Sus scrofa: one gene and its partners. The protein of the gene in region 5 interacts with the protein of the main gene of each other region in a pairwise test. Links are inferred from orthologs where the notes say so. Each region holds a gene or a part of one and is shown on either strand. Other genes may lie near its edges.

Region 1 (4,197 bases), on a different chromosome or scaffold from region 5:
CCCTTGTGGCTAAGGCACAGGCTGGTGGCTGCAGCTCTGATTCGACTCCTAGCCTGGGAACCTCCATATGCTGTGGGTGTGGCCATAAAAAGTCAAAAGAAAGGAGAAGCCTCGGAGAACCAAGGGAGAGGGCACAAAGTTTAGCTTGTAGCTTCCTCCTGGAAATGTCCCAGAATAGGTGTCCAAAACTCCACCCTTCACAGCTTGCACAAATACCAGTGGGAAATCTTTATCTAGATATATGTGTGCTGATTACCTCTTCTCCCCTGATCCTCTCACCTCTGAAGTGTTTCTTCAATGGAGTGTTCTCCCTTTGGTGCATCTTCTTCCAAATTTGGCTCAAAACATTCCTTCTCCAAGAAACTTTTCTTTCCCTAAACAACTCACTTCTCCAGAGCTGATAACTTCTATATATTCATGTGCCACCATCAGCAATGCCCTGTGACCATTTTACTGCATTATGTTTCTGAGTTTTTCAGATGTGAATGGAGGGGAGAGACCATTTATGTTTTGTTCATTGCTGTAGTCCCAACATTTCACATTGTAGGTTGGTTTGGTTTTGAATTTTAAGTATCCATCTGCCAAACTCCACCATCAGTCTGAAAGGTCTAGAGAGGTAAGACAAACTTCTTTTCTGTAACTCACCAGTTGCCCAGCCCACTAGGAATCTTGTGATTTCTTCATATGTTAGGCCCCTAGTCTTGGTATCTTGCCCTGAATTTTCTAATTCTTTTAACTCATCCTTAATGGTTATAATAATATATAATAAGCCAGTCTGCCTAGCTCCAATAGTTGGTGTACGAGCTTGGATTACATATCAGTTTTCTCATGTGTAACACGGTAATGATAATAACTTATAAACTGGTTGAAAGGAATTCATTTATTTAAAAGTTTATTTGACTTGGCTTATGAGACACTCAATAAACGTAAGTTATTATTGAAAGCTGTACATTTGTCTGTGAGGCACTTCATCTTCAATATCTTGTCTGAGGAATCCAGCGACCCTATGAGATAGCAACGTTTACAGAGGAGAAAGCTGAGGCTGAGAGTTACTTATCCAAGGTCACGGGCCGGCGTGACTCCTAACCAGACTCGCACCCCCCCCCCCGCGTCTCCTGGTGCCCCATCTCCGGTTGCCAAATGGAAACAGCCTCACTCCCGGTAAGGTAGATTACCTGGACGGCCGGGAGCAGGTTTAGGCCGGGGGCGACAGCGATCCGGGGCGTCAGGCTCAGAGAGCTAAGAGCGCGGGTCAATACCCGCAGGGCCATGATTGGCCAGGCTCGGTTGGGTTCAGCACACCACCATCACCTTTAGCGAGGAACCCTGGCGCTACTGGATGACGCTAACTGGTCCAAGTGCCGTCGCTCCATCCTGACGTAAAAAGAAAAGAGGCGGGCGGAGAACCCGAGACCAAGTTGGACACACACCTCCTTTCCTCCCTGTGCCAGGTAGACCCAATCCCCCGGCGGCTCATAGGTCGCGTGACTGGGGAACAGGCCCCGCCCCTCAGAGCCGTCAAAACAATTGCCTTGAGCGGCAGCCATGATGGATTTAAAGGGGCAGTACCGGCAAGAGCTGTAGCCAGATCATCAGACTGCGGGTGAGTCTTTAAGGGTACTTTGGGGCAGAGAGTTGAGATCCTGCTACCTCTTTCTTGCACTCCCGGACAGATTAAGAAATGAGCCCTTCCGAGCAGTCTCAAACAACTCGAGTCGGATTCAAAAACTCCGCCCCCCGGGATTCTTCCCGCCCCCTCGGCGTCCAGACGGACGGACAGACGGTCCGCCCCGCCCCCTGCGCTACCAACTGACTCCTTGACCTCGGGATAATCCGGCCCCTGGTCCTCCTCGCCCGCGACGCGGACCTGGGTCATCACCCCGCACCTCCTCCCTTCTCTCCTGCCCATCGCACTCTCTCCCCACCCTGGGCCTCAGGGCAGGTCGACAGCCTGGGACACTTCACCGCATTCCCAGGCCGGGGAGACCAAGTCCTAGCGCCGAGATCCTCTGTGATCCCGCAGCCACTCAGCGGACCTGCCATTCTTCCCTGCATCATCGGGCACCTGGGAGGCACTCTACGCTGACTCTCAGAGCCTGTTAGTATGTTAGTACGTGATCATGATAGAGACAAAGCCATAGAGATGACTGGGCAAAGAGTGACCAGGTCTTCCTCCTCACCCGTTCCCAGACACGCCCCTTGCCTCAGGTCTCAGATCAGATCTCACTCTCTTCTTGGGAGAAAATAGCTCCCAGGCTTGGGGTGGGAGGTTGGCTTCTGGAAGGAGGAGGGACCTTGGTCGTCTTTGAAGACCTGTGGGCAGGGGAGGGAGGGTGTTTGTCCTGGGTGGGGCTCTATGCCAGGTCCTCGGGAGGCTGTGAAGTGGTGAGAGAAGGGGTGGGAACGCTGGACTTCTGGACTTTGGGCAGGGCAGATCCTTCTGAGTCCCTGGCTGCTTGAACAGAGTTTCTTCCGGGCTCCTGCCTGAACGCCACAACCAAGGGTTATATACAGGTAAGAAGACTTCAAAGATGAGAAACAAGGCCCTTTTGAGGAAGTAGTCAGACAGCCTGAGGCCTGAGGTTTCAGGCATGTGGGGAAAGAGGCAGGGCTGACCAGGTTTGCAGATGCTGGGCTTAGCTCTGTGGGCGACCCGCACCTCTAGGTGCCTCTCATCTGGGTCCTGTGATGAAGGCTCCTATTTTTTTTCTTTTCCTTCTCTTTCTTGATTTAAACATTGATTTGAAACCTATTTCTCCCCGCACTTTTTAAAAAATTCTGACTATTTTCAGCATATCTCCTGCCTGCTTTAACCTCGTTCCCTTTGCAGTGCTCTCAAACACCCTCTGTGCTCCCTAGAGGGCTGTCTCTCCTCTCCTGATTCCTTTTCTTAACCCCAAATCTGTCTCCAACTCCTTTTCCATTCTGTTCCTTAGCTCAGTCCCTCTGGTACTTCTCAGCACCTCTGTTCCTTCTATACTTTTTCTTCGTTCAAGTCAATTCCTCTCCTTCTCTATCTCCCCCAACCTTAGTTTTGTGTCTAGTGTCGCAGGCTGCCTCCTCACTGGTCACTTGTTCTCTCCAATTAAACCACAGGGTTCCCCCCCTCCATTTGCTCTTTTCCTTCACTTGGACTCCCCCCTCCACCACCCCTGCCAGCCTCTAACCAGGGCGCTCAGCCCTCGTTGTTATTTTGACTTCAGCTGAGCTCTGTTGTTTCTCTGTAGCCCAGACACGGTCCCCTGGCCAGGATGTCGGGCCTGGTGTTGGGACAGCGGGATGAGTCTGCAGGGCACCGGCTCAGCCAGGAGGAGATCCTGGGGAGCACCCGTCTGGTGAGCCAAGGGCTGGAGGCTCTACACAGTGAGCACCAGGCAGTGCTGCAAAGCCTCTCGCATACCATCGAGTGTCTGCAGCAGGGAGGCCATGAAGAAGGGCTGGTGCACGAGAAGGCCCGGCAGCTGCGCCGATCCATGGAAAACATCGAGCTGGGGCTGAGTGAGGCCCAGGTGAGGGGGAGGAGGTGGTGCCAAGTGGCCCCAGGTAGATGGAGAAGAATTGTCTGATGGAGTTTTGGGTTCATTTGGGATCCCTTTTCCTAGATGCTTGAATTCATTCACCCAGTTAATAAGTATTAAGCCTCCACCATGTGCCAGGCACTAATCTTCTGGATGCTCGGGAGAGTGATCACTCAACACAACGGCCATAAAGCTTTGCCATCTTGGAGCTTAGAGTCTAGCTGGGGGAAGCAGGTGATACACAAATAAATAAGTGATTCAGTGTGCCAGAGTGATAATTGCTAAGGATAAAAAGGTAAAAATAAAGCAAGGAAGGGGATTGGGGTGTATGGAGAGAGGATACAGTTTTAGGTGGGGTGGTCCGGGAAAGCCTCACTGAAAAGGCACCATTTGAGCAAAGAATTGAAGATGAGGGAGTTCTCATCATGGCGCAGTGGAAACAAATCTGACTGGGAACCATGAGATTGTGGGTTTGATCCCTGGCCTCGCTCAGTGGATTAAGGATCCAGCATTGCCGTGAGCTGTGGTGTAGGTCACAGATGCGGCTCAAATCTGGCATTGCTGTGGCTGTGGTGTAGGCCGGCAGCTGTAGCTCTGATTCGACCCCCAGCCTGGGAACTTCTATAGGCTGTGGGTATGGCCCTAAAAAGACAAAAGCCAAAAAAAAAAAAAAAAGAAT
Region 2 (4,216 bases), on a different chromosome or scaffold from region 5:
TATCCTTGAGGAGGTGGGTTCCATCCCTGGCCTTACTCAGTGGGTTAAGGATCTGGTGTTGCTGCGAGCTGTGGCGTGGGTTGCAGATGAGGCCTAGATCCCCTGTAGCTGGGGCTGTGGCGCAGGTCAGCAGCTGCAGCTCCCATTTATCCCTTAGCCTGAGAACTTCCATATGCCCCAAGTTCGGCCCTAAAAAGCAAAAGAAAAAAAGAAAAAAAAAATTGTTCCTTCAATCACCTACAGGACCTCCTTCCTCTGTGATCTCATGTTATTCTCATCTCCTGCCACACTGCTATTTGTTAAATGTGGGCACCCAGAGGCTTTTGCACTGGCTGTTCTCTTCACAGACATGTTTCTCCTCCAGGCACCTGCACATTTACTCTTTCCCCTCCTTCAGATCCCTCATATGTTCCCTTCTTGATTAGGCCTTCTCTGACCTTATTTAAAAGAGAATCTTGCCCCTAAAACTTGCCACTCCACATTCCCTTTCCCCGCTGGTTCTTATTTTTCTCTGCAGCATTTGTCTTCACTTACTATATATGCCACATATTTATTGTCTATCTCTCCTTAGCACAATGGAAGACCTATGAGAGTAAAAACTTTCATACATTGTGCTCAATAGTATATCCTCAATGTCCCCTTATACAGTAGGTATTTGATAAGATATTTGTTCAGTGAACAAATGGATAAAAAGGAATATAAGAGCCAGTAACTGAAGAAAGGTCTCCACAGATAGGTGGACAGTGGTGTACTAAGTGAGGCTGGAGAGGTGGAAGGGACCAGATGACATAAGATGACATTTGTAAAGAAATTTTGCCTTTAAAAGTAGGACACACACTGAATGGTTTTAAGTGAAAATGTGAATCTGAATGGATTTGCATTTTGAAAAGATGATTCTGGCTGCTGTGTGGAGAACTAATGGAGAAAGGCCAGAGTGAATAATCACTATTTCACCATTCCTGGCAAGAGTTTATGGCAGTTTAGAAAAGACTGTGCTTATGTAGATGGAGGCAAAGGATGGATTTGAGGGATATTTGGGAGACAAAATTGAGAGTACTTAAAAATAATTTGGCTACAGAGGTATGAAGGACATTAGGAAATCAAGGATAATGCATAGGTTTCAAATTTTCACAAGTGCATGGCAGTGCCCTAAGTGAAATAGGGAACACTGGGAAATAATCAGATTCATAAAAGATACTGTTCATTTGGTTTTAGGCATGTTAAGTCTGAGGTGCTTTTGAGATATCCAAGAAGAAACACCATAGAGATGGGCATAAGAAAGCTAAAAGGTGAAGCTGGATGAAATTATACATTTAAGTCATAGGTGGTGGTGAAACAAAGCTAAAAGGTGAAGTTGGATGAAATTATACATTTAAGTCATAGGTGGTGGTGAAACCATGGCTATGAATGAGATCATACTCAATCACAAAGTAAAAAGGAGACCCACACTTAAGAAACTACCCTATCCTTTGTGGGTTGGACAAAGGAAGATGAGCCTCCCCCCACCCCAAAAGACACAAGAAGGAGTGGCTTTGTTTTCTGAAATCATACTCATAAGAAGGAAGTTCTCATTTTTTAAAATTCTGATTTAAACAAGCAACATTAGAATGTTCTAGGCTTTCCAAATTAAACCAATTCATCAGAACTCTGTTCAAGGATAGGTCACTTTCAGAAACTATCTGGAAAATTCATAGTACGTTTCTCTTTTCTGCTCTTTACTCTTTTCTCTTTGCTGTATTGTACATCAAAACACAAAAAGCTATTCCTCCTGAAATGTATATGATTTTGGCTTATTGCAGTTTCCTGAAATTACTATCTCCCTCACTCTTGGCCTCACCATATGCTGTTCTTTTGACCCTCTTTCCCTGAGATGAAGATTTCCCTGACTTTCCAAGACCGGCCTAAGTGATCTTTCTAGCCATCCTAATAATATCATATAGTACTGTATGTTTAATGTGTGTACTGTACTTTATATATGTATTGTATAATGTTTAACCATTAGTTTAACTAGATGGGAACTGTGCGTTTTCCACTTGTCCAGTACTTGGTTTTTAGAAACTAAGTTTTAGAAACGCATGTATTGTGCAACATGAAAAATTAAAACTAATTTGTTATCAGTCCAGTGATAGCCCTTCAAACCTCAACTTTTCTCAAGAAGAATGACTTCAAACAGCAATATGCAAACAAATTATTTAATCTTTTAAAATTACTAAATTTTAGAGATTTTTATAAGTCTTTTTTCCATATGGTATTCTTAAAGCCTGCAAATATTCATATCTAGGAACACGAGGGATTCTTTTCCCTTCAGTTTTGTACAAAAAGGATTTGACAACTCTCTTTCAAAGTGTGGCACAGGATTTCTTCTGCGCAAATAAAGCCTCAAACAATCCTATGCAATGGCAAACAAAGGTGCACTTACACAGGGATACTGAGTCCATCCCGCGTGAGCCCACCTGACAGAGCAGAAGCAGAGGTAGCACCGCGGAGCACTAGTTTCCACAGCATCCCTCTTGCCTGACCTTATGCAGCTCTTTCCGACCATCCATGTCCTCTCAACGCGCCCGCGGTCTTGGGCACTCGGACTAGTTCTTCCCACGTAGATTACTGATAGTCCCTGGACTAAGGAGTACAGCTCTAAGGAGACGGCTTCCTTTCTAAAATCCCACAGGAAATGGAGGAAGGAAAAATACTGTCAAAGGAAAAGTGTCAGCCAAGCCCACAGTGCTCACCAAGCCAAATCTCTCAGTCAAATCTCCGGCAGCGCTAGCCGTTGGCTCGCAGGGAGCCACAGGCAACGTCGCAGTGGCTCCCGGGAGCTGTAGTTTCTGTCTCAAACAGAACGCGCCTACAGCACCAGAACTACACTTCCCAGAAGTCAATGCGAGGACGCCCTGCCTTCTTAAATCTGGTGTTTGGCGCAATAAAGAGTTTCTATTTTTTCCTCTGATTTTAAATTTTGATTCGAGTTCTTCCAGGAGTTTATCTGTGCCCTCCTTATTTGCGGTTCTTGTCTCGTGTGTGATAATTTCGGCGTATTTCAACTTTTCGTTACCCCCGTTCAGCCCAAAGAAGCCGAACGTCAAGGCAAAAAAAAACCAAAAAAACCAAAAAACAAAAAAAAAAAACGCCCCCCGAGCAGATTCGGTGCCTCTTAAGGCGCATGCGCCCGGCCCACCGTTACGCATGCGTAGCAGCCGTCAGCGGTTGGCGGCCGCTCGCGGGCTCGGGGTCCGGAGGTAGCTTGTTGGAGGGCGGGGCTTTTTCCGATGGCTTTGCCTCAGCGGGTCGCGTCTGCTTGGGCGGGGAAGAGGGCGCAGGGGCAGGGGCAGGGGCGGCTCCTGGCTTGTGCCGGGCGGAGAAAGGGGAGGGGCTGGGGGTGAGGACCCCGTCTCCCCTCCCCGCTCCCGCCCTCTGGGCCGAGCCCCATCGATGGGGCTGGGCGAAGGGGCGGGTTCTGCGCCTGGGGCCCTGCCGCTCCGCCAGCTTCGCGGCCCAGCCCCGCGATCGGGGATTGCTGGGCTGCCCTGTGCCGGTTTGGGTTGGCCGGCAGTGGGCGAGGATACCGGGATTGGAAGAGAAGCAGCGTCAGCCCGTGGATTCTGAATCCGCAGAGCCAGAGACGCGTTCCTCCAACGCCACCACCGAGACAGAGGCTGCACGAGACTGCAGCCCCTGGGGAGCGCCAGGGTCTCTAGCCGCGGCGTCCAGCGAGCCAGGGTTCGGCGAGCCTTTCCAGCCAGCGCCCGGCCGGGCGGGAGGAGCTGCGGAGGGCGGGGACTGGTGCCGGAGGAGGGGCGGGGTGGGAACGCTCCCGAGAACACCGTGGCTGCACGGACAAAAAACACCGAGTGGCTGCAGAGCGTTCAACTGTATCCAGCCTTTTGGGGCAGAGCACGGATTTGACAGCTCCACGGCTTGAGGATATCCGCTGACCCCGAGAGACGGAGAGGAACACTTCCCCGACACTGTCCAGCAAAGCCAGCTCTGTAAGGTTTCAACTTTCCAACTTTTTTTTTTTTTTTTTTTTTTTTTGTCTGACTAGAAGACTGCTACTCCGGGTAGAAGGAGAGGGCGAGCTCTGTCTGGTAGATCGAAGACATTTCTGGTACCAATGTCACCCAGGCTTATGTTTTCGTGACGATTCGATTTTTCTGATTTATTTCTTACATTTCTCGTTTTAAAAATACGAAGTGCTGTGGTGGACATGCTGAAAGAT
Region 3 (4,239 bases), on a different chromosome or scaffold from region 5:
TATAGAAATTACTTTTACACCAGTTCCCAGACACACCTCAGGATTCTGAGCTGAATCTCTGGAATACAGAAACAAACCTTAGTGTTAGGCTGCATCCCGCAGGTCTGCAAGCCCTGTGCCTACCCAGCTTCATGACTGAAGAGCCCAGAGTCAGTGACAGAGACATGGATGGTTTAATGGCCAGGGGGTTCTTACATGTCTGACAGGACATGGTAAAGTCTCTGCTCCTGGAGGGGAAGGGGAGATTGCCAGTTACAGTGGGAATTGACATCAGGTTGGCACATGAGTTACCAGGGAGACCAGCAGAGAGGCACTGCCCTCACCGCTCTTTAGATAAGAACAATCTCATTGCTGGGGCCTGGGACAAATATGTAGAAAGGTCAATCATGCACTTAGGGGTTGGTGGAGCAGGAAATGGTGGAGCAGGGAATGTACAAAGAGCAAGAAAACAGCCATCTTGAGGGGCAATACCATTGGCTGGTTTAGGTGATAAGCAATGTTTGATTAACCAAAGTGCGTATCCCTAGACAGCTATTTTAACAATGCCTGGAAGTCCTGCTTTAAAAAATAAGTTCATCCTTCCTCAAACAATTCTCTGCAGGAAAAAAACTTAATGGTTATGTCCATTCTATTGCAAATACTGTCTAAGTTTACTTATTTACCTAGATGGATAGGTATTAACTGAATTTGAGGAATGACAATGAAAAGGCATTTTAAAATTTTACTAACCAATATATTTGCCCTATGATTGGCAATTCATATGGAAATCAATTCAGTTGGAGAGGGAGCTATAAACACTAACTAGCTGAGGATTTAAAGCGTGTGGGTGAGGTAAGGTTCCCAGGCTAGGGGTCTAATCGGAGACACAGCTGCTGCCAGCTTATGCCACAGCCACATCAACACCTGATCTGAGCCCTGTCTGTGACCTACACCACAGCTCAGGGCAACGCTGGATCCTTAAACCACTGAACGAGGCCAGGGATAGAACCCGAAACCTCATGGTTCCTAGTCTGATTCGTTTGCGCTGACCACTAGGGAACTCCTTTGCTACTCACTTTTAACTAGAGCGGTGAAGTGGGGTGGTGAAGGCAGTAAGGCAGATAATGGCAAGCATAAGATGCCGGGCGCTAAGTCTGTTACTCAAGAGGAATTGGCTTTCACTAGTGTTTTTTTTTTTTTTCTGTAGCATAGACAGGTCATTTCACCTTCTTGAGTTTCAGTTTTCGACTTCGAGCTGGGTGTATGGTTGAGAGCTCTCCGAGTTGCCTTACGGGTCTCCTCATTTGTGGGTCCTCTCAATGCTGGTCTACAAACATCGCTGCACTTTACCTGGGCTCTCTGCACCTGCGCGGAAAAGGCGCCCTAGCACTAAGGCCATCATTCGGCCTCTTCTGCGCACGCGCGTGCCCTTTAAAACATTTTTCCTCTTTACCTCCTCCCTTCCTCCCAGTTCGTCAGAGTGAGAGGCAGGACTTCCTGTTCTGTTTTGGAGCGACTGCCGGAAATAACTGCGGGCGAATCGGCGTGTCCGGAGGCCGGTAGAGTTTGGGGTGGCAGAGCTAATTGCAGCTTTCGGCGCGAAAAATGCCGGGTCTGGCGGCCGCAATCCCTGCCCCGCCTGAATCGCAGGAGAAGAAGCCGCTGAAGCCCTGCTGCGCCTGCCCGGAGACCAAGAAAGCGCGCGATGCGTGGTCAGTGCGCAGCCGGGGAGGGGGCGGCGGGGCAGGCTCCGTGCACTGCCTTCGGGTGCCGCTGCCCGGACTAGGGCTGGTCGTGGCCCTCACTTTGCCGCGGGGCTCTCTTGAGGGTTATAGACCTGGGTAGGCTTCGCAGTCAGCTGTCTGTAGACTGAGCTCGTAGCTTACCCTGGGGAAAAGGTTGAAGGGATCAGAGAGAGGTCAGATTGACCCGCCGCGCTCAATCCAGGCATTCCTTCCTACAAAAGGTTTTTCATCAGCTGTTATGGGTCAAACATTGCTTTAGGACCGAAGGCTTGTAAACGGATGGATGCTACTTGATTTAAAGAAACACAGGAGTTCCCGTGGTGGCTCACCGGATTAAGAACCCGACCAGCAGCCATAAGGATGCAGTTTCGATCCCTGGTCTGTTCAGTGGGTAAAGGAGCCGGCCCTGCAAACTGCAGGGTAGGTCGGTCGCAGATGCCAATGGGATCTGTGTGGCTGTGGCTGCGGTGTAGGCCGGCATATGCAGCTCTGATTCAGCCCCTAGCCTGGGAACTTCCATATGTCCCAGGTGCGGCCCTTAAAAAAAAGTAAAGGGAAACAGTTAATGGAAACGTTTTTCAATGATTGCTCTACTATGGTTTATGGGCCATGATAGAAGACTTGGCAAAATCAGAGTTCCCTTGTGGTGAGAGGGGTTAAGGATCCCACGTGGTCTCAGCAGCGACTGCCGTGGGGCGGGTTCGATCTCTTTTCGGGAAGTTGCACATAGTTCCCCCGCGGCCAAGAAAAAAAGATTTATCAAGATCAAAGAGTAAAAGTTTTCCGGTTTTCTGGTAATTTCTCCCCGAATTTAGTCATAGTAGGGTACAAGGTACATTTCTTAACGGTACAGAAAATCCCCTAAACTCTTCCCCCCACCGTTTTAGGTAGATAATTTAAAAATCAACTAGGCTATAACATATGTGACACTGTAGTGTTCAGAATTGTTTATCTAAATTACCATCAACCTGCAAAAGGTTTTCATTTCTTCTTACTGTATACAGCCTCTGTTGTGGAACAAATCTCAGAAGGAATCTTCAGATAATGTGAATGTACACCTCTCCCTCCAGTCCCTTTTTGTCCTCACATAAAAAGTAAAGAAATCATAAGTGACATAGTGGGAAAATATGAGTGGTAGGAGCCAAGTGCTTTTTGTTAATATCCACTACTGTGCACATAATACTGTTAAGGGAGATTCAAAAGACTACGATCAGATACTATGCTTCCACATTAACTGTTAAGTGCTTATTGAACCTTCAGACCATATGATATTATGATGGAGCCTGGGATCTAGTGTCAAGGTTTGAATCCTGGGGCGTCAACTCTGTTACCTTGATCGAATTATTTAACATCGTTGCCTCCTGTCTGTAAAATGGGCCTAATAAAAGTGTCTGCCTCCAGGATTATTGTAGGGTTAATGCTATAAGCCACAATATTTACAGTATTCAAGAAATGATCTGGGAGGGCTAGCTATTGTTTTGGGGGGGCATTGTTTGTTTTTCTTTTTCTGGCCTCCTGAAGGACATGGAGTTCCCAGGCCAGAGATGAGAGCCTCAATTGCAACCTATGCCACAGGTGTGGAATGCTGAATCCTTAACCCACTGCATCCCAGTGCTGCAGAGACACCACTGATCCCTTTGTGCTACAGCAGGAACTCCAATTATTTTTATAAGGAGCTTGCTGTCCCAGGCAGACAGCTCTTATGAAAGATGTGTAGGCTTTAGAAGAAAGGAGAACCTCCCTTTCTTTAAATTACTTCTGCATCAATTACTTCTGACCACTATGGCTTCTCCCCAAATATCTATAGTTAGGAGTTATTTTTTTCTTACAATTGAATTTGCCTTAACTTGGTTCTTTCCTAAAATTACATTTTCAGGCCCTTAGAAATGAAACTGTGTGGTTCTAGTTTTTACTTTGTGAATTTTACAGGTCAAAAGTTCTTTGATCATCATGACTGGGGCTCATTGGGCTGCTCTGGGCAGCCAGATATTTTTTGCTATTTGTGAAGGGTGTCTTGTTATTAGAAATAGACTTATCTAGATGTATGTGAATGTAGGATAGAATCAAAAATTGGATTCCTCTGTGATAGGCAAAAAGTAAAGTTCTTTCTGTCCATTTAGTGTTAATTTTTTATTCAGTTTATTTTGTTATAGGTTAGTATTATTGGGTAGTGTCTAGAGGTAATATTTAATATGCATAATTTCTTCTAATCAGATGCCGCCCGCCCCCAACTAGATATCAATAGAACATCTTCATGGGTAACGAAATATCACAAGAGCCAATAAAAACAAAGCCATTTGGTATAATAGCATTTTTGTTTTGGTTTGGTTTGGGTTTTTTTGGCTTCCCTGAGGCATATGGAGTTCCTGGGCCAGGGATCAGATTAGAGGTGCAGTTGCAGCCTAAGCCACAGCTGCGGCAACACTGAATCCTTAATCCGAGTGCATGGCCAGGGATTGAACCTGTGTCCCAGTGCTCCCAAGAAACCACTGATCCCATTGCACCACAGCTGGAA
Region 4 (3,542 bases), on a different chromosome or scaffold from region 5:
TAAAGAGGTTTCATCATAGCTTAAGGAACTTTATAGAACTTTTAATCACTCAATATTGTTTGCAATAATACAGTACTTAAGGTAGTAGTCACAATAAAGCTTTTCCCTTAAAAAAAATTACAACTGAAAGCAAATTTCTGGGAGTTCCTGTTGTGGCTCAGCAGGTTACAAACCCAACTAGTACCCATGAAGATTCGGGTTTGATCCCTTCCCTCACTCAGTGGGTTAAGGATCTGGAGTAGCCATGAGCTGTGGTGTAGGTTGCAGATGCAGCTTAGATCCCCAGTTGCGTTGTGTGGCATAGCACCAGCAGCTCTAATTCAATCTTAGCCTGGGAACTTCCCTGTGCCGCAGGAGTGGGCCGAGAAAAGCAAAAAGAAAGCAAATTTCAAAGGAAACAAATTTTCAGTTCTACCACTAAGAATACAAGACACTTCCAGAATAAGGTGATATACCATGTATTCTCCAAAACCTTTTATGATAGCAGTATGCCCCAAACAAGGGTGGAAATATTTCTTAATAATTTTTTTCTGCAATTTTAACTGCAATGTTTTCTGGAGTTTAAATATTAAAATCCAAACTAACAATGTACCTTTTCCTTTAAGAGATAAGCAAATCAACAAAGAACAATGTCAAATTCATACTGTGATTTGAACAATTTAACTTTCCCAAAAAAGCATGACATTAGCAAGAGCCAAGTAAAAATATTTCTTCGGGTTTGATCCCTGGCCTTGCTCAGGGGATTAAGGATCCGGCGTTGCCGTGAGCTGTGAGTGGTGCAGGTCACAGACACAGCTCGGATCCCGCCTTGTTGTAGCTATGGTATAGGCCGGCAGCTACAGCTCCTATTTGACCCTAGCCTAGGAACTTCCTCATATGCCGTGGTGAGGCCCTTAAAAAAAAAAGACAAAAAAAAAAAATATATATAGATAGACAGATAGATAGGTTACCTTGGCTATATTACCAGTATATCCCGGAACCAAAGTAAGATGGTTTTCCTGTTCCCATAATCCACTTAATTGTTGTTTTAAAATCTGAATATTTCTAGGAAGAAAAAAAGAAGAAATGCAAATACAGTAGGATATGGACTTTGGTAGTAAATACACTTAGTGAAAACTGTTTTGAATTTTTCAAGTACTTATCAGGATAAAATTATACCATTTGAAGTCAAGCAATTTGTTAAAACAGTACATGTCAATCACAGAAATAACTTAGTTGTTAAGCTGGTAAGAAAATAACAAAGCATTTAGACAACTGGTTCTTGGGTGTGAAGTGGGAAAACTTTGAGAGCCTCCAAAGAAAATTATGGACTTTAAGGAAATTGTTGAGAGTTTTTTTTGGGTTTTTTTTGGTTTTTTTTGGTAGCTTCATGATAATCTGGCTCATTTGGTGGAAGATTCATACATTTTTCACATCAAGGCTAAACTAAAATTACGATTATAATTGAGTTTTTAGAACTGTAATCATCCACACTGAATTCTCATATTAATGGTTAGGTAGCCAAAGTACCCCGCAGGAGGCCTCCATTCTGGTTCCTCAATACTTATTTCACTCCAGGCCATTTCTTTTATTCTCTCACCCCTTTATGATAGACATGAGGGTTAAACCACTTCTGTGCTTCTGCTTCCTAAGAGAAAGGGCAGAATGCTGCCAGAACAATAGCTACAGGAGTTACAGAGTTATGGAATTCAACTTTCACATGGAATTTTTCACATATGACCAGTATTCCAATTTATTATTTCTCTGAAAATGAACAGAATAAGTCTTACACACTGATAATCATGGAATAAAATTTTCACCTAGCCTAATCAAGCTGCTTTCCTAAAAAAAATATTTAGTAGCATGAGTTTATCTTTAAATGTATACTCACCCATCATTTATAATTTCTGTCTTGGATGATAGTTCTGACCACCACCTTTTAATGACTGCTTGAAGCCAGTTTAAACCAACTATTACGTATCTGAAATGACATTTTGTTACAAAATTCAAGTGTTTTCATCAAAGAAGCCTTTACAAAAGATGAGATTATAACCCCCTCAAAAAACTCATACACACTGATCTTTCCCCTTTGAAAATTTATTTCACAAAATTGTATTTTATGTAATTTCATAGATGTTTTTGCTGTTGTTCTTTTTTTTTTTCCCTAGGGCCGCACCCACAGCATGTGAAGGTTCCCAGGCTAGAGATCCAATTGGAGCTACGCCACAGCCTCAGCAATGCGGGATCTGAGCCACTTCTGCAACCTACACCATAGTTCATGGCAACACTGGATCCTCAACCCACTGAGCAAGGCTAGGGATTGAACCCACATCCTCATGGACACTAGCCAGGTTCATTAACCACTGAGCCATGATGGGAACTCCTTTGTAATTGTTCTTTAGTCATTCTCATATGCTTTTCCTAAGTGGACTATAAGCCACTAGAAAACAGAAACTATGTATATGCTTCATTGAGCTCAATTTACCACTATGCATTCATGAGGCACCAAATCACGGATATTCAAAGAGAAAAATGAATTGGGATCAGCACTTACTCTTCAAATTTGCTCTTAAGTAGTGACTTTACTAGAGGCAACAAGTCTACACAGCAGCCAAGTGAGATATATTGTTTTTCTTCCTGTAAACTAAAATAAATACTGAGTTATAAAAATATGAACAGGTCATAATTTGTCCTTCTTTAATTTTTTTTTTCTGAAAAATATTCATTTTACCTATTGGTGAGCACAGGAAGGCAATCCACCACAACTCCAAGGTCTTCTATCCTGTGGGAACAAAACTGCTTAGAGGTCTTATTTTCTTTATTTCTCTATTTATGTATTTATTTAGGCCACACCTACAGCATGTGGAAGCTCCCAGGCCAGGGATCGAACCCACATGACAGCGGTGACAACACTGGATCCTTAACTCAACAAGCCCCGAGGGAACCCCCTTTTATTTATTTTTATATTATCATCTTCACACTTCTTTCTTTAAGGGCCACACCCATGGCGTGTGGAGGTTCCCAGGCTAGGGGTTGAATCAGAACCACAACTACTGGCCGACACCACAGCCACAGCAACACCAGATCCAAGCCGCATCTGCAACCTACACCATAGCTCATGGCAACACCAGATCCTTAACCCACTGAGGCCAGGGATTGAACCTGCGTCCTCCTGGATACTAGTCAGATTTGTTTCTTTGGCACCACACAAGAACTCCCCACACTGCTTTTGAGAAATTTACTCACTCAACAAATTATCGAAGTGGTTATGATGAGTCAGGTTTTAGGGATATAGCAGTGAACAAAGAAATAGGGCTTATATTTCAATGTGTGTGAGTAATGGGGGGCAGGAATAGGAGAGGGCAGGGACGGACAATAAACAAATAAAATATTTAAAAGCATGATGTTAAGTGCTATAGAGAAAAAAACAGGAAAGAGGGGTAGAGAGTAAGAAATATGTATTTTTAAATAAGGTAGTCAAGGAAAGCCTCACCAAGATAACATTTGAGGAGACTTGTTTACAGTTAGAAAGCTAATAGTTAAAAATTTCAATCAAATGGGAT
Region 5 (4,072 bases):
TCAAGTAGCCTGTGCCCAGATTCCTTTTCTTCATTTTTGCAAGGTTTAGAAATGATGGGCAGCCACCAAGTCCATTAGACACATTTCAATCTTCCCTTACCCTCCCCCAGGCACCTGGACCACTTACTCCCTGATTCCTACTCTTTGCTGTCTGTTAGGATGCTCTCTCTGGTTCTCCTTCCTCTCTGCCTCCTAACCACTCACACTCATCTGTGGACTCACCCCCGTTTCCTGTCAAACACTGAACCCCGTAAATGCTGCTGCTTCCCAAAGACTCCATATTCGAACCTCTTCCTTTTTCATTTCTTCATGTTCCCCCTATGTGAGCTGATCCATTCTCTCCTTTAACTTCTTAACTACATGTAAACCTCTACCTCCTGAACTCCAGATCCAAAAGCATCCTTCCCTGAATATCCCACAGGAACCTTGAACAAATATTCAAAAGTGAAAGGATTTATCTTTATCTATCACCCCAATAAAAACCTGCTCCTGCTCATCTCAATCAATGAGCTCACTATCCCATCTATCACCCTGGCCAGGAAACTAGGATTCATTCATCTTAGGATTCCAAATCTTTCTAGCCCCCAAGATCCAAACTCTTATTAAGTCCTATCAATTTTATCTCTTAAATATTCCTACAACCCGTCTCTTCTATAACTCCAATGGTTTACCTTAGACTCATTTCATCTCCCTACTGGACTTTTTTTTTTTTCTTCCTAAAACTGGTTTTCCCACCAACCACTCTAATTTCTCCTCCTCTGGATCCATTCCCCAAACTAGAGCCAGAGCTATCTTTCTCAGCTACAAACCCAATAATGTCACGACTCCTCTGGAAACTCTTCAATGATAGCCCCATGTTGAAGAAAAATTCTAAACTCTTTTATCATGGCAATAAGTACTCTGAGGTCTGGTCTCTCCCTACTACACTGCAAGTATTTTGGGGTTCAGTAATCAGAGTGACCCAGGGTTCCCTAGAAACAAAGCATTCAAATCTCAGCTTTTGCTTCTGTGATGCCATTTGCCTAGAGAGACTTTTCTCAGCCTCTCTCCAGCACAAGATTAATCAACTTTCTTAGCACAGGTCAAATGTCACATCATTCTGAAGACTTCTGCTAATCTCCTGAGGCAAGGACCAAAGGGTACAGAGAATGGCATCAGTGGTTGAGATTATGATTTAGATGAATTAGACTCACCTGGGTTGAAACCCCAGGTTCACACTGATGACTTTGGGCAAGGTCTCTAAGGCTGTTTCCTCATCTCTAAATAACAGCTACTTCGCAAGGATTAAGGATTAAATAAGGGGCTACATCCAAAACATGTGGCAGAGTGCCTCCCACAGAGTAAGTACTCAATACATATTACCATGACATTACTATGTGTTCACACTCTGGGGGGTATAGCAACTTACACGAGCTCTATCACACTGATGATGTGACATGGCCGTTTGCCCATGCAGGGCACAGATTATCTTCTAGCATCTCTTTATTCCACAATCTGGCACAATACCTGGCACACAACAGGTCCTTAAATTTTAAATGAATAAATAAAATACTTCAAACCCCTATACTGTATAACACAAAGCGCTGATTTTTTTTCTAGTGACCTTATTAAACCTACTTTTTAATCTCCTCATACAAAATCGCTACTTTAAGTTTATAGAGACCAGCTTCATTTAATCAAGAGAAAAGGAATTTTATAGTGGCCTTATGTTTTCTTGTCTAAATCACACACATAAAATAAGCCCACATCAGCTATTTCCCAACATACTATTGCAAAAATACCAAATTTCTAGGATGCTTATCTACCTATTGAAAAATTTTAAAAGGTAGACAAGGCAGGTTTTCTAAATCTGTTTCAGAGTTAATTTTCCTTACTATCACGGCCTGAGCAAACTTTAGGAGCCAAGGTGTATTCCAGAGCATTAGAAAAAAGGAAAGAAAAGAAAAAGGAAGGAAGGGGGAGGGAGGAAGAAAGAAAAAGGTGTTTTTTATTCTCCTGAGAACACTGGGCTAGTCAAAGAAAATATTTATCACTACTGCTTAAAAAGAAAAAAAATAAAAAGTCTACACTTTGAAAAACACTAGTAATTTAATGTAACCTTTAAGATGGAATCAAAATGTGTGCTGGCAGTGTTTAAGCTGGGGGGGGTGGAAGGGGTTCTCATTTTGTAATCTTGACTCAATAAATAAAATGCAAAATGCAACACGGTAAAAATATCAGACACTACTATCTATCAGCACTGTACCTTTCATCCACTTCTACATTTAACCTTTAAATATTACTGCCCTTTGAGTAATTATTAATCAGAGGGTTTAATTAATGCAAACACCTCTGAACTGCTTCAGAGTGAAACTGATCAAATACCTAGAAATAAACGTATCAGGAAAAGGAGAAAAGCCTGTTAAAACAGTTTTCCAGGTCTCCCAGCAAAAGTGTGCCATACCTACGGTTCTGCACCGCGAGGCAGCAACCTGGGAGGATGAGAGGTGCCGAAGGCCCGAGGCCCTGCAGCAGCCGGGCGGCCGCTCTTCCCCGAGGCTACTCGGGGCGGCGGCCCGGCCGGGGTGGGGCCAACGCTGCAGTCGGGGCGGGCCGAAAGGAGGGCGAAAAGGCCAGGTCTCGCCTCCGCTTCCCCTTCCCAGCGCTCAGAACGCCGTTCCGCGACCCCCCACAAGCCCCCTCACCACAAAGAGAGAGACTGGTCCCTCTCCGGCTCCGCTCAAACTTTATCGGTCTTTCTCAGTCGTCGGGGCCGCCGGGCTCTGTAGGCCGCCCATCCAGGCCGCCCCACCAGGCCACAAGCCTGAGGAGCCGCCGAACTACAATCCCCATAGTGCTCCGCGCCCCGCGGCGCTCCCCCTCCCGCCGGCACGCACTGCCTGTCCCGCCGCGCACTGCCCCCGGGTCTGCTGAGGCGGGGGCCGGGGAGGGACTTTCAACCCGGGGACCTCACCACGGGCTGGCTTGCTGGCGCCCGTCTCCCTCAGATTCATTACCTAGGTGCCGCAGGTCGGCCGACCGTTTTGCTGCGGGGCAGGTGGGGTGGGGGTGGGGCACAGGCCGCAGCCGCCGCGGAGTCCGTTAGTTCGCGACGTGCGTGGAGAGGCGGTGGCGGCGGCGGCGTACGGTTGCCATGGCAGCTGTGGTCCGCACGGCGGGGCGGGGGAGGAAATCGGGGGCTTGGAGTCAGCTCCAGGGAGGAGCCTGGGAACCCGCCCGGGTGCGGGGGCAGGGAGGCGCGAGGGTGCGTCTGGGAGCGGAGGGAGAGCGTGACATTGAGGAGGACGGTGACGAATTGCGCTCTCTTACCGCCGATGAGCCCTGCGCCGCAGCGTCCAATCCCCGTGGCAGGGCGCGTGTCCGTCCCCTCCGCCCGCGCGTCGATGCCTGCTCTATTCTGAGAGGATGCTTGTGGCGTCAGAGGAAGGAGCAGCGCCCGGCTCTTTAAAGGTCGCTGGTCCAGGCCCTCCCCCGCCGCCCATCCTCCTCTGGGCATCCCCCACTGGCCAGGCCCTATGGCTTGTTTGAACCCAAGCCACCTCTTTTGGAGTGTTTCACCAGTAAAACCGAATTTGCAGTTTTTCACACCCCCTTTCTGCCATTTTCTGAGTAGGATAGAAATGAACCATTTAGTAAAATACAACGCATTATTCGGGGGGGGGGGGGCTGAGACTTCAGTTGAATTTTGAGCTATAATATTTCTTTAATCGTTTGTGGACTGGCCATGACCCATCGCGGAGATGCACCATAGTCTGAACTGAGGTTAAGAGCAGGGGTTTCTAAAACCCACTTCTTAGTCCCCTACCTGCCACTACACTTGGTAGCTGAGACCTGGGGGCAGTGATGCTCAGCGTTTTAATCTGCAACGTGGAGATAATAATCTAGTTCACAGTGCTTGTGAGAAAGAAAAGCACTGATACTGATGAAGCTTTCCAGAACAAAGCCTGGCATTTAACAGTAACTTTTAAATATTAGTTCTTTAACCCATCGGTGAGACGAGCCAGAAGGTGGGAGGCCGGAGCTGAGGGTGGGGTTTGGCTGAAGAGGGAATTTTTCCGTGGTGATGGAAAAG

What was found.
Region 1: the proteins of KATNAL1 (region 5) and KLC4 interact in binary tests that used the Homo sapiens proteins (3 or more experiments, as listed by UniProt). The two-hybrid records come from large-scale screens. The link is inferred for Sus scrofa from reciprocal best matches to the Homo sapiens genes KATNAL1 and KLC4.
Region 2: the proteins of KATNAL1 (region 5) and CEP57L1 interact in binary tests that used the Homo sapiens proteins (3 or more experiments, as listed by UniProt). The two-hybrid records come from large-scale screens. The link is inferred for Sus scrofa from reciprocal best matches to the Homo sapiens genes KATNAL1 and CEP57L1.
Region 3: the proteins of KATNAL1 (region 5) and COX17 interact in binary tests that used the Homo sapiens proteins (3 or more experiments, as listed by UniProt). The two-hybrid records come from large-scale screens. The link is inferred for Sus scrofa from reciprocal best matches to the Homo sapiens genes KATNAL1 and COX17.
Region 4: the proteins of KATNAL1 (region 5) and KATNBL1 interact in binary tests that used the Homo sapiens proteins (3 or more experiments, as listed by UniProt). The two-hybrid records come from large-scale screens. The link is inferred for Sus scrofa from reciprocal best matches to the Homo sapiens genes KATNAL1 and KATNBL1.

What each region holds. Positions count from the first base shown.
Region 1 is NC_010449.5:38,119,278-38,123,474, forward strand, and holds the start of KLC4 (kinesin light chain 4), read left to right. Parts: upstream 1-1,396; 5' UTR 1,397-1,603; exon of another isoform or gene 1,604-2,098; intron 2,099-2,180; exon of another isoform or gene 2,181-2,316; intron 2,317-2,361; exon of another isoform or gene 2,362-2,514; intron 2,515-3,227; 5' UTR 3,228-3,251; coding exon 3,252-3,509; intron 3,510-4,197. Other genes in the region: MRPL2 (39S ribosomal protein L2, mitochondrial), read right to left, coding at 1,176-1,271.
Region 2 is NC_010443.5:75,169,586-75,173,801, reverse strand, and holds the start of CEP57L1 (centrosomal protein CEP57L1), read right to left. Parts: upstream 2,810-4,216; 5' UTR 2,547-2,809; coding exon of another isoform or gene 2,543-2,546; coding exon 2,420-2,542; intron 1-2,419. UniProt on the Homo sapiens protein: Centrosomal protein which may be required for microtubule attachment to centrosomes.
Region 3 is NC_010455.5:140,582,847-140,587,085, forward strand, and holds the start of COX17 (cytochrome c oxidase copper chaperone), read left to right. Parts: upstream 1-1,439; 5' UTR 1,440-1,584; coding exon 1,585-1,691; intron 1,692-4,239.
Region 4 is NC_010449.5:80,343,480-80,347,021, reverse strand, and holds part of KATNBL1 (chromosome 15 open reading frame 29), read right to left. Parts: intron 2,762-3,542; coding exon 2,711-2,761; intron 2,624-2,710; coding exon 2,534-2,623; intron 1,961-2,533; coding exon 1,871-1,960; intron 1,045-1,870; coding exon 951-1,044; intron 1-950.
Region 5 is NC_010453.5:7,061,341-7,065,412, forward strand, and holds the start of KATNAL1 (katanin p60 ATPase-containing subunit A-like 1), read right to left. Parts: upstream 2,832-4,072; 5' UTR 2,685-2,831; exon of another isoform or gene 2,444-2,684; intron 1-2,443. UniProt on the Homo sapiens protein: Regulates microtubule dynamics in Sertoli cells, a process that is essential for spermiogenesis and male fertility. Severs microtubules in an ATP-dependent manner, promoting rapid reorganization of cellular microtubule arrays.